Linked DNA regions of Arabidopsis thaliana. The protein of the gene in region 2 interacts with the protein of the main gene of each other region in a pairwise test. Each region holds a gene or a part of one and is shown on either strand. Other genes may lie near its edges.

Region 1 (4,749 bases), on a different chromosome or scaffold from region 2:
TCCGGAAACAAACAAAAGAAAGAGCATGCAAGAAGAGCTCCAATCAACTCCTGCAATATTGAAGTTCGAACGGACAGGTAAGAAAAGCAAGAATCCATAGAGACTATATCTTCAACAACACAAGGTCATTATCCAGTATGAACACATGTATATTCAACACAAGGTCATTATCCAGTAAGAAAAGCAAGAATCCATAGAGACTATATCTTCAACACACAAGGTAATCATCCAGTAAGAACACATGTATATTCGACGTAATTTCCTCCCCATAAATCACTACTCAAGAGTCAGGAATAGAACCAAAAAAACACCTTTAGCTCAAATGTAGGAGATAGCACTTTGTATCAATACCTGGCTGAGGAAAACAATGCCAGCTTGTTGGGAATTTAACAAACGAAGACCGGTTTTGATTCCACTAACAATATTATCAGCATTTTGGAAATGCACTTCTAACAGAGATGGAAACTGTAGAAGTAAGCTCGCCAATGCTGGGATAATCTCATCGAACCATCTCTTTGATTCTTTCTCATCAATCAACTGCGAGTACCAAAAACTTAGTTCCACTACTCAATTCGATTTGAAGATACACTCAAATCCAAAAGCAATCACCATAAAGTTAAAAAGAGATAATTACTTCGTCAAAGAGAAATGCGTAGCCATTAGAAGCAGATGGCTCGAGAGTAGAGAAAGATAAGGATCGTCTCATATCGAAAATAGCTTGCCGTAGAACCTCTCCTGAGTCAACTTGGCTGTGAGATGGTCCTTCAGACATTGCCTTTAACGCCTCCACCACACGCGGCGGCCAATACAGCGACGACGAACGAATTACAAGTGGAAGGTACGGAAGAATTGAGTTAAGATCTTCGCGATTCTCCATTTTTCGATTTTTCTAATCTCACAGCTGTTCTCAATTGCTTTTGAAACAGGTTTACGAATCGCTTCTGCGACAAGATTCTGCTGCCGCTAGAAGATACTCAAGTCCCGGAGTAAAAAATCTAAAAAAGTCAAGAGTGCGAAGGCGAAAGGCAAACCGGTTTTGTAGAACCGGGAAGTTGGAACTTGAACCATATCGGTAATGTATTGGTTTAGTGGCAATAACATCCTCGTTAGCTATCTGGTTAACTCATTTTAAGTTAAAAGCCAGTTTCGAGTTATTTCACACTCACCAGTTTGGAATCTTGATACAGACAACGAACGTATTGACGGAAAACGCTAAAAGAAAGTGACTGGAAAATAGAAGGTGTGTGTAACATAACATTTATTTTTTTCTAACGTGTAGGAAACGGTGGCTCACTATGGAACCCACAGCGTAGACTTTGACTTATCAACGCTTACATAGTCAAGTCAATAACAAAATTCGCTATATCAATAATACAGTTTTGCAACTTTCTATATTCACATTTTCTACTTTATTATTTTCCCATAAAACTTCCTGGAAGAATTTAAATCAAAAAAAAAATGTACAATTTAGCCCATTTCACAGGTCAGGATTATCAGTTTTTATAATGGTTTTTTCTTCTTTAGACTTTAATTAAAAACAGAACTCTTATTAAGAATATACAAATAATTCAAAAAGTATACGCTGAATCAATGTTTCTCCAAAACCATTGATAACTAAATATCATAATATAAAATACAATTTTGTTAGGAGATCTTATGTAAGAATTCAGTAATCTATCATTAATATCAAACTAATCAAATAAAATACTAGCAATAGAAAACCCCATTTTTTCGATATGAAACCGGGGCTTGGATGGATCCCTTGAACAAACCATAAATTTTTCAAACTGTTAATTTAAGTTTACCAATTATATGTATAAGTGTATAACAATATTAAGAAATTAACTTGTGAATATATTTTGTAACTTTATTTTTTTTGGGTCAAATATATTTTGTCACTTCAAAAATAAAGTTTTAGAAGAAAAAAAAAACCACGAAACACGTAAAGATTTCTCAATAGATTAGTACCAGTTGCTGACCATAAATAGACAGAGTGTAGACTCCGACAACATCCACAAGAAGAAACTTTCTCTAATTAAAATGGCTGTTCCCACGGGAAGCGCCAATCTCTTTCTCCGGCCTCTCATCCTCGCCGTTCTCTCCTTTCTTCTTCTCTCTTCATTCGTCTCCTCTGTTGAGTGGCTCGATATCGATTCCTCAGATCTCAAAGCTCTTCAGGTCATCGAAACAGAGCTCGGAGTCAACAGTCAACGTTCTTCGGCCAGTGATGTCAACCCTTGCGGTCGCCGAGGAGTTTTCTGCGAGAGACGGCACTCTGCCACCACCGGAGAATACGTTCTCCGTGTCACGAGGCTCGTCTACCGATCCAGGAGCTTGACGGGGACTATCTCTCCGGTCATCGGAATGTTGTCGGAGCTCAAGGAACTTACTTTGTCTAATAACCAGTTGGTCAACGCTGTTCCGGTGGATATCTTAAGCTGTAAGCAACTTGAAGTTCTTGATCTTCGGAAAAATAGATTTTCCGGTCAGATTCCGGGAAACTTTTCTAGTTTGAGCCGTCTTCGAATCCTTGATCTCTCTTCGAACAAGTTATCCGGGAACTTGAATTTCTTGAAGAATCTACGCAATCTGGAGAATCTCTCTGTTGCAAACAATCTCTTCTCAGGCAAAATCCCGGAACAAATTGTGTCGTTCCACAATCTCCGGTTCTTTGATTTCTCCGGAAACCGGTATTTGGAAGGTCCGGCTCCGGTTATGAGCAGTATCAAGCTTCAGACATCTCCACATCAAACAAGACACATTCTTGCTGAAACTCCAACTTCAAGTCCCACGAACAAACCCAACAACAGCACTACATCAAAAGCTCCAAAGGGAGCTCCAAAACCAGGGAAGTTGAAGAAGAAGAAGAAGAAGAGCAAGAAGAAGAAAGTAGCGGCATGGATCTTAGGGTTTGTCGTTGGAGCCATAGGAGGAACAATCTCTGGGTTTGTCTTCTCGGTGTTGTTCAAATTGATTATTCAAGCAATAAGAGGATCAGAAAAACCACCAGGTCCTTCCATATTCAGCCCATTGATCAAGAAAGCTGAAGATTTAGCTTTCTTGGAGAATGAAGAAGCGTTAGCTTCTCTGGAGATCATAGGAAGAGGAGGTTGTGGAGAAGTTTTCAAAGCTGAACTACCAGGAAGCAATGGGAAGATCATAGCTGTGAAGAAAGTGATCCAACCGCCTAAAGACGCCGATGAACTAACAGATGAAGATTCCAAGTTTCTGAACAAGAAAATGAGGCAAATTAGATCCGAGATCAACACAGTCGGCCATATCCGGCACCGGAATCTTCTCCCATTGTTAGCACACGTGTCAAGACCCGAGTGCCACTACCTCGTTTACGAGTACATGGAAAAGGGGAGTTTGCAAGATATATTGACTGACGTACAAGCTGGAAATCAAGAACTAATGTGGCCAGCGAGGCACAAGATTGCTTTAGGTATAGCTGCAGGGCTTGAGTACCTTCACATGGATCATAACCCACGAATCATTCACAGAGACTTAAAGCCAGCCAATGTTCTTCTTGATGATGACATGGAAGCCAGAATTTCAGATTTCGGACTGGCAAAGGCAATGCCAGATGCAGTCACACATATTACAACCTCGCATGTTGCAGGTACTGTGGGATACATAGCACCAGAGTTTTATCAAACCCACAAGTTCACAGATAAATGTGATATCTATAGTTTTGGAGTGATTCTTGGGATTCTGGTGATTGGGAAGCTTCCTTCAGATGAGTTTTTTCAGCATACTGACGAGATGAGTCTGATAAAGTGGATGAGGAACATAATAACATCGGAAAATCCTAGCCTTGCGATTGATCCGAAGTTGATGGATCAAGGATTCGATGAACAGATGCTTCTGGTTCTGAAGATCGCCTGTTACTGTACTTTGGATGATCCAAAACAGAGGCCGAACAGTAAAGATGTCAGGACCATGTTGTCCCAGATCAAGCACTAGTGTTTCAATATGTATTGTTTGCTTCTATCTATATTTCCTAGATTCCTGTTGCATACGAAATAACTATGAACACAATCTTGGCAGAAATTTGTAATGGCGACTGTAAAATTTAAATGGATTTCAATTATGATTATTGCTCTAAACATAAATCATCAATCTACTATAAGAATCTTAGCTATATACATAACGGAAAAGAACACTTGATTAACAACCTTAAAATGACAACACATTACATGTTTGGTTACTTGTCTTCTCTATATGCAGCCGGTGAGAATCTCCCTCAAATATTCTAGCTGTTCATGACTGCCTTCATGTTCTTCCCACTAAAAATAATAAAAACAAAGTCAACACATGTTCAGTATGTACTCCTGATTGAGATGGGAAAACATATCAATTATGCAAGAGCATGTGAGATCTTTTTACTATTGAACAGAACAAGTATTCTAAAAATGGAGACAATTTCTTATCCTAGCAACTCAATTTTATATCAGTTTCCATTTTTCAACGTTATAGACCCACCTCTTGAAGAGACAGAGATACCACTTTCCATCCAGCAGCAGCAACATATCGCCGCTTCAGCATTGTATGCCCTAATGGTAGTCCTGTAGAACACAAGAGTCGAAATGATCATTAAGTTTGGGTTGGCTCCACCAGACACCAATATATATTAAGAAACAGAGTGATGTCACTTACCAGAGTTTCTTGAAAAATGAGTTGGCCCGTCGATTTCTAAAGCAACTTTCTTCTCGACCAGAGCAACATCCACGGTGTAGCCATCCACAT
Region 2 (3,632 bases):
GGCTTCATATCTTCTTACATTGCAAAGATTGTTTCGATTTTCGCAAGATCAACATACTCTCAAATTTCGAAACAAGATTCAGATTGCAGAGGATTCCTATTTGCTAGATTTACCAGATTAAAAAGGATGTTAAGTCATAAGACTCATAAGCCATAACAATTAACAAAGTGCATGATGATTAGTGTGGTGGATGATTATAAGTTATGCTTGTATATTGATTCGTAAAGTTAAAGGAAAAGTGTTTTTCAATAACCAAAAATTTGGTAAAAAGAAGTTATATGTTTAAATGATATAGTGAAGAAGAAGAAAAATATACTCTGCAATAAGAGAAAGACAAGTGTTTTGGCATAGAAAATAAGTTAGCGGAGTTTGGGGTATGCTCGGAGAGTACTTTCGAAGAAATTGCAACTCTTTTGTTTTGTTTTACAAAACCTTTCAGGAATCTATTACACAATCTTTTGTCTTTTGTCAACAATCTATTACACAATCTTAATGCAAAAGAACTACCACAGTTAATTAGTACTATATATATATATATATATATATATATATATATATATGCATCTATAAAAAGGGATTGATATATATCTCCTAAAACCCTAAACCCTAATCACCAAATATCTAGAACAATAATATATTAAAATGTTGGATTTCCTTTGTACATTTGAAATGAAAAAATCGGATTACACGATGGTGTGATCATGAGATCTATTAAACTAAATTACATTCGTCTTTTAATGGATCCAATGGAAATATCAATCTCAATAAGATTATCTTCTTCCATATTCACATCATCAATATCTTCTTCTTGTTCTTCTTCAATCCTAATTCTCAGTCGACTTTGATTAATGTTTCTCATTGCCTCTATAGTCTCTGCTTCTTCGCTCACAAGATCAATCTCAATGAGACCATCATCATCATCATCATCTTCATAATCGTAGCCTTCTCCTTGGGACCCCTCAGCCAAACATAGTCTTGTCTTTTCCTTGAAGATTCGTAACAAGAAAACAGAAGAGGAGACGAACAAGATTGCCATGGTTATTGTGAGAGAGGAGACTCCTTGAGAGTTCAAGAAACAGAGGAAAGCTACAGATGAAATTAGGGTTACAAGAAAAAACAGCAGTGACAGCTGTGAAAGAAAGCAACACCGAGTAAAATGCTTTTCATCATCAGATTTTTCCACCATTATAGAAACTTTATTTAATTCAAAGCAAAAACAAAGACAGAGCTAGTTATAAAGAGAAGTCGAGATTGTGTCGTTATCCATTGATGTTAATGGATCTTTGAGTTATGACTTATTCAAATCTTTAAACCAAAGTTTCGATGTTTGGATCTTGATTTAAGAAGAGAGATTGAAAAGAGACGAATCTGAGTTCTTGAAAAGTTTGAGACAAGTCTGAGAAAGAGAGAGAGAGAAATCAGAGGAAGTCAGAGGAACCAAACAAGAAAGCTTTATTTGTTTTCTCACACTTACATAATTACACCTGCAACTAAATTTTTTCGAGAAAAGGAAAAGCATTGGTTTTTGCATGTACGTATTTGAAAAAATAAAACACTTTGAAAAATCTATAAAAAGCTTTGGAATTTGGTAAATCCATGTGAAGCCCACTAATTAAGGATGCTTGTTTTTGTTAAGGAAATATTAGTATCATTAAGCTTTGGTTGAAAACTACTTGTAAAGTTGTACTAGTTTAATCTTTCTCTAGAAGTTACCCCCTTCATAAGTTTGTCGTTTATTTTTTTGGTTGTCAACTAGGATTGTCGATCTGATTTATTGAAAATATTCTCAACTGAAGTGATCATTATTTCTTCCTCTGATTGTTTAAAGAAATTTAGGGAATTGTCACTTTATCCTTTAGGAACCTACCTTTGTCTCACAAAAGACTCCATTTGTTTTCAATGGTAATCATGAGATGGTTAATGATATGATATCAATGATATGATATGATATGATATGATATCATATAATACTAACAAAAGAAATTATCTAAGAAATGATGTTATTAAATCGTAAGATTGTGAAACGTTGATAGCGATGAACTGAAAAATTGTTTTAATAAAAGAACAAGAGTTGGCGGTTAAATTGTTTGATACTCAAATTTCGATAATCTTGAAATATTAATAGTGTGCTTTCATTTGGAGATACAACTTTTACTACTGTTAGCTGTTGTGGTAAATATCCAAAAAAAAATCCGATACGAGTGTTGTTGGATTGGATCCAACGATTTCGTTATTATGCTTTGTGCTTCCTTGAAAAAGTAATTTGATTTCTTATATCTTAAAAGTTATAATAAGCAAATTTTACTTAATTGTTTTTCATAGTCATAGTAACTCTACACTCTTGTAACTACAAAATGATATGGCATACTGCATTTGTGAAAATATGAAAGATATAGAGACAAAGCAATAATGTTCACAAAAAAAAAAAAAGACAAAGCAATAATATAAAGGGTGATTTAAAAATCTATACATGGACCATCAAATAATTAAGAATCTGTACATGAATACCATTTATTTAGGTATCTCTTTTCAATTAAAATCTATATGACAAATATACCCCTACAAAGTGATATGGTAAAACTCTGATAATTAGCAGATAACGCATTATCGAGATAATATTGTTAGCGAAATATGGATGGGGTTTGATGTATGGATGAAATGACATGGTGTACAAACCAACTTAATATGTTAATAATATATTTGACGATATAAGCAAATTTTCAGTTATTAAACCAATGTTTAGATTTCAAAGACATATATATGCGAAGACGATAACATTATTATTAAAAGATAATAAAATATTTAACATGAATACCATAAAAGTTGACTTGCGACTGAATAATCATGTAGAAAAAATACGTGCATCAGAATAGTTAATAGATAACGTATTATCGGGATAATATTGTTAGCAAAATATGGATAGGATTTTGATATATGGATGAAAAAACTTAGGGTACAAACCTACTTAACATGTTAATAATACAATTGACGATATAAACAAATTACCAGCTATTGAACCAACGATTTGATTTTAAAGATTATATAATTATGGGAAGATGATAACATTATTATTAAAAGGTAACAAAATATTTAACGTCAAAAGCAAATATGGTATAGAGATATAAGGGTATTTTCATGATAGAGAGAAAAGATTCGAGAGTAGTTTTTTCTAATACTTAATTTTATAATTTTATATGTATATAGAGTGCAATTTCCCTAATATAAACAAAAAACCAAACACATAGTACTAGTTTTGTTTCACAAAGCACAACGCAACATTTTCGTCTAGGAGTTTCACGAATGAGTAGCTGACACGTGGCTGAATACCGACCATCGATAGTAGATTACAAAAGTATCCCTAACATCTCCTTCTCCGCCGTGTCAATCGCAAACAATCGAATCCGGATCCGATCCGATTCGCCTCAACACCATCATTATTTATCTGTTTCCCCCTTTTCCCAAGCTCTAACATTTAGGGTTTCGCGAAAAATCAATCAGGTGAAAAATAATCGAATTATTGTAAAATTGATACATAAATTCACATTCAAAAGCCAAAGAGCTGAGAAATTATTTTTTGTAAACTGTTGGTCCTTCGGAGAGTGTCCATGAACGTTAGTCTTCAATGGATACAT

Evidence for each region.
Region 1: the proteins of AT5G55650 (region 2) and SOBIR1 interact in a protein complementation assay, tested with the Arabidopsis thaliana proteins (one large-scale study listed by BioGRID).

The regions. Positions count from the first base shown.
Region 1 is NC_003071.7:13,552,880-13,557,628, forward strand, and holds SOBIR1 (Leucine-rich repeat protein kinase family protein), read left to right. Parts: upstream 1-2,014; 5' UTR 2,015-2,040; coding exon 2,041-3,966; 3' UTR 3,967-4,098; downstream 4,099-4,749. Other genes in the region: TEJ (Poly (ADP-ribose) glycohydrolase (PARG)), read right to left, coding at 1-50, 352-537, 635-877; RAP, read right to left, coding at 4,221-4,289, 4,486-4,568, 4,660-4,749. UniProt on the Arabidopsis thaliana protein: Dual specificity kinase acting on both serine/threonine- and tyrosine-containing substrates. Acting as a counterplayer of BIR1, promotes the activation of plant defense and cell death.
Region 2 is NC_003076.8:22,533,914-22,537,545, reverse strand, and holds AT5G55650 (uncharacterized protein), read right to left. Parts: upstream 1,475-3,632; 5' UTR 1,187-1,474; coding exon 722-1,186; 3' UTR 570-721; downstream 1-569. Other genes in the region: AT5G55640 (Na-translocating NADH-quinone reductase subunit A), read left to right, coding at 3,623-3,632.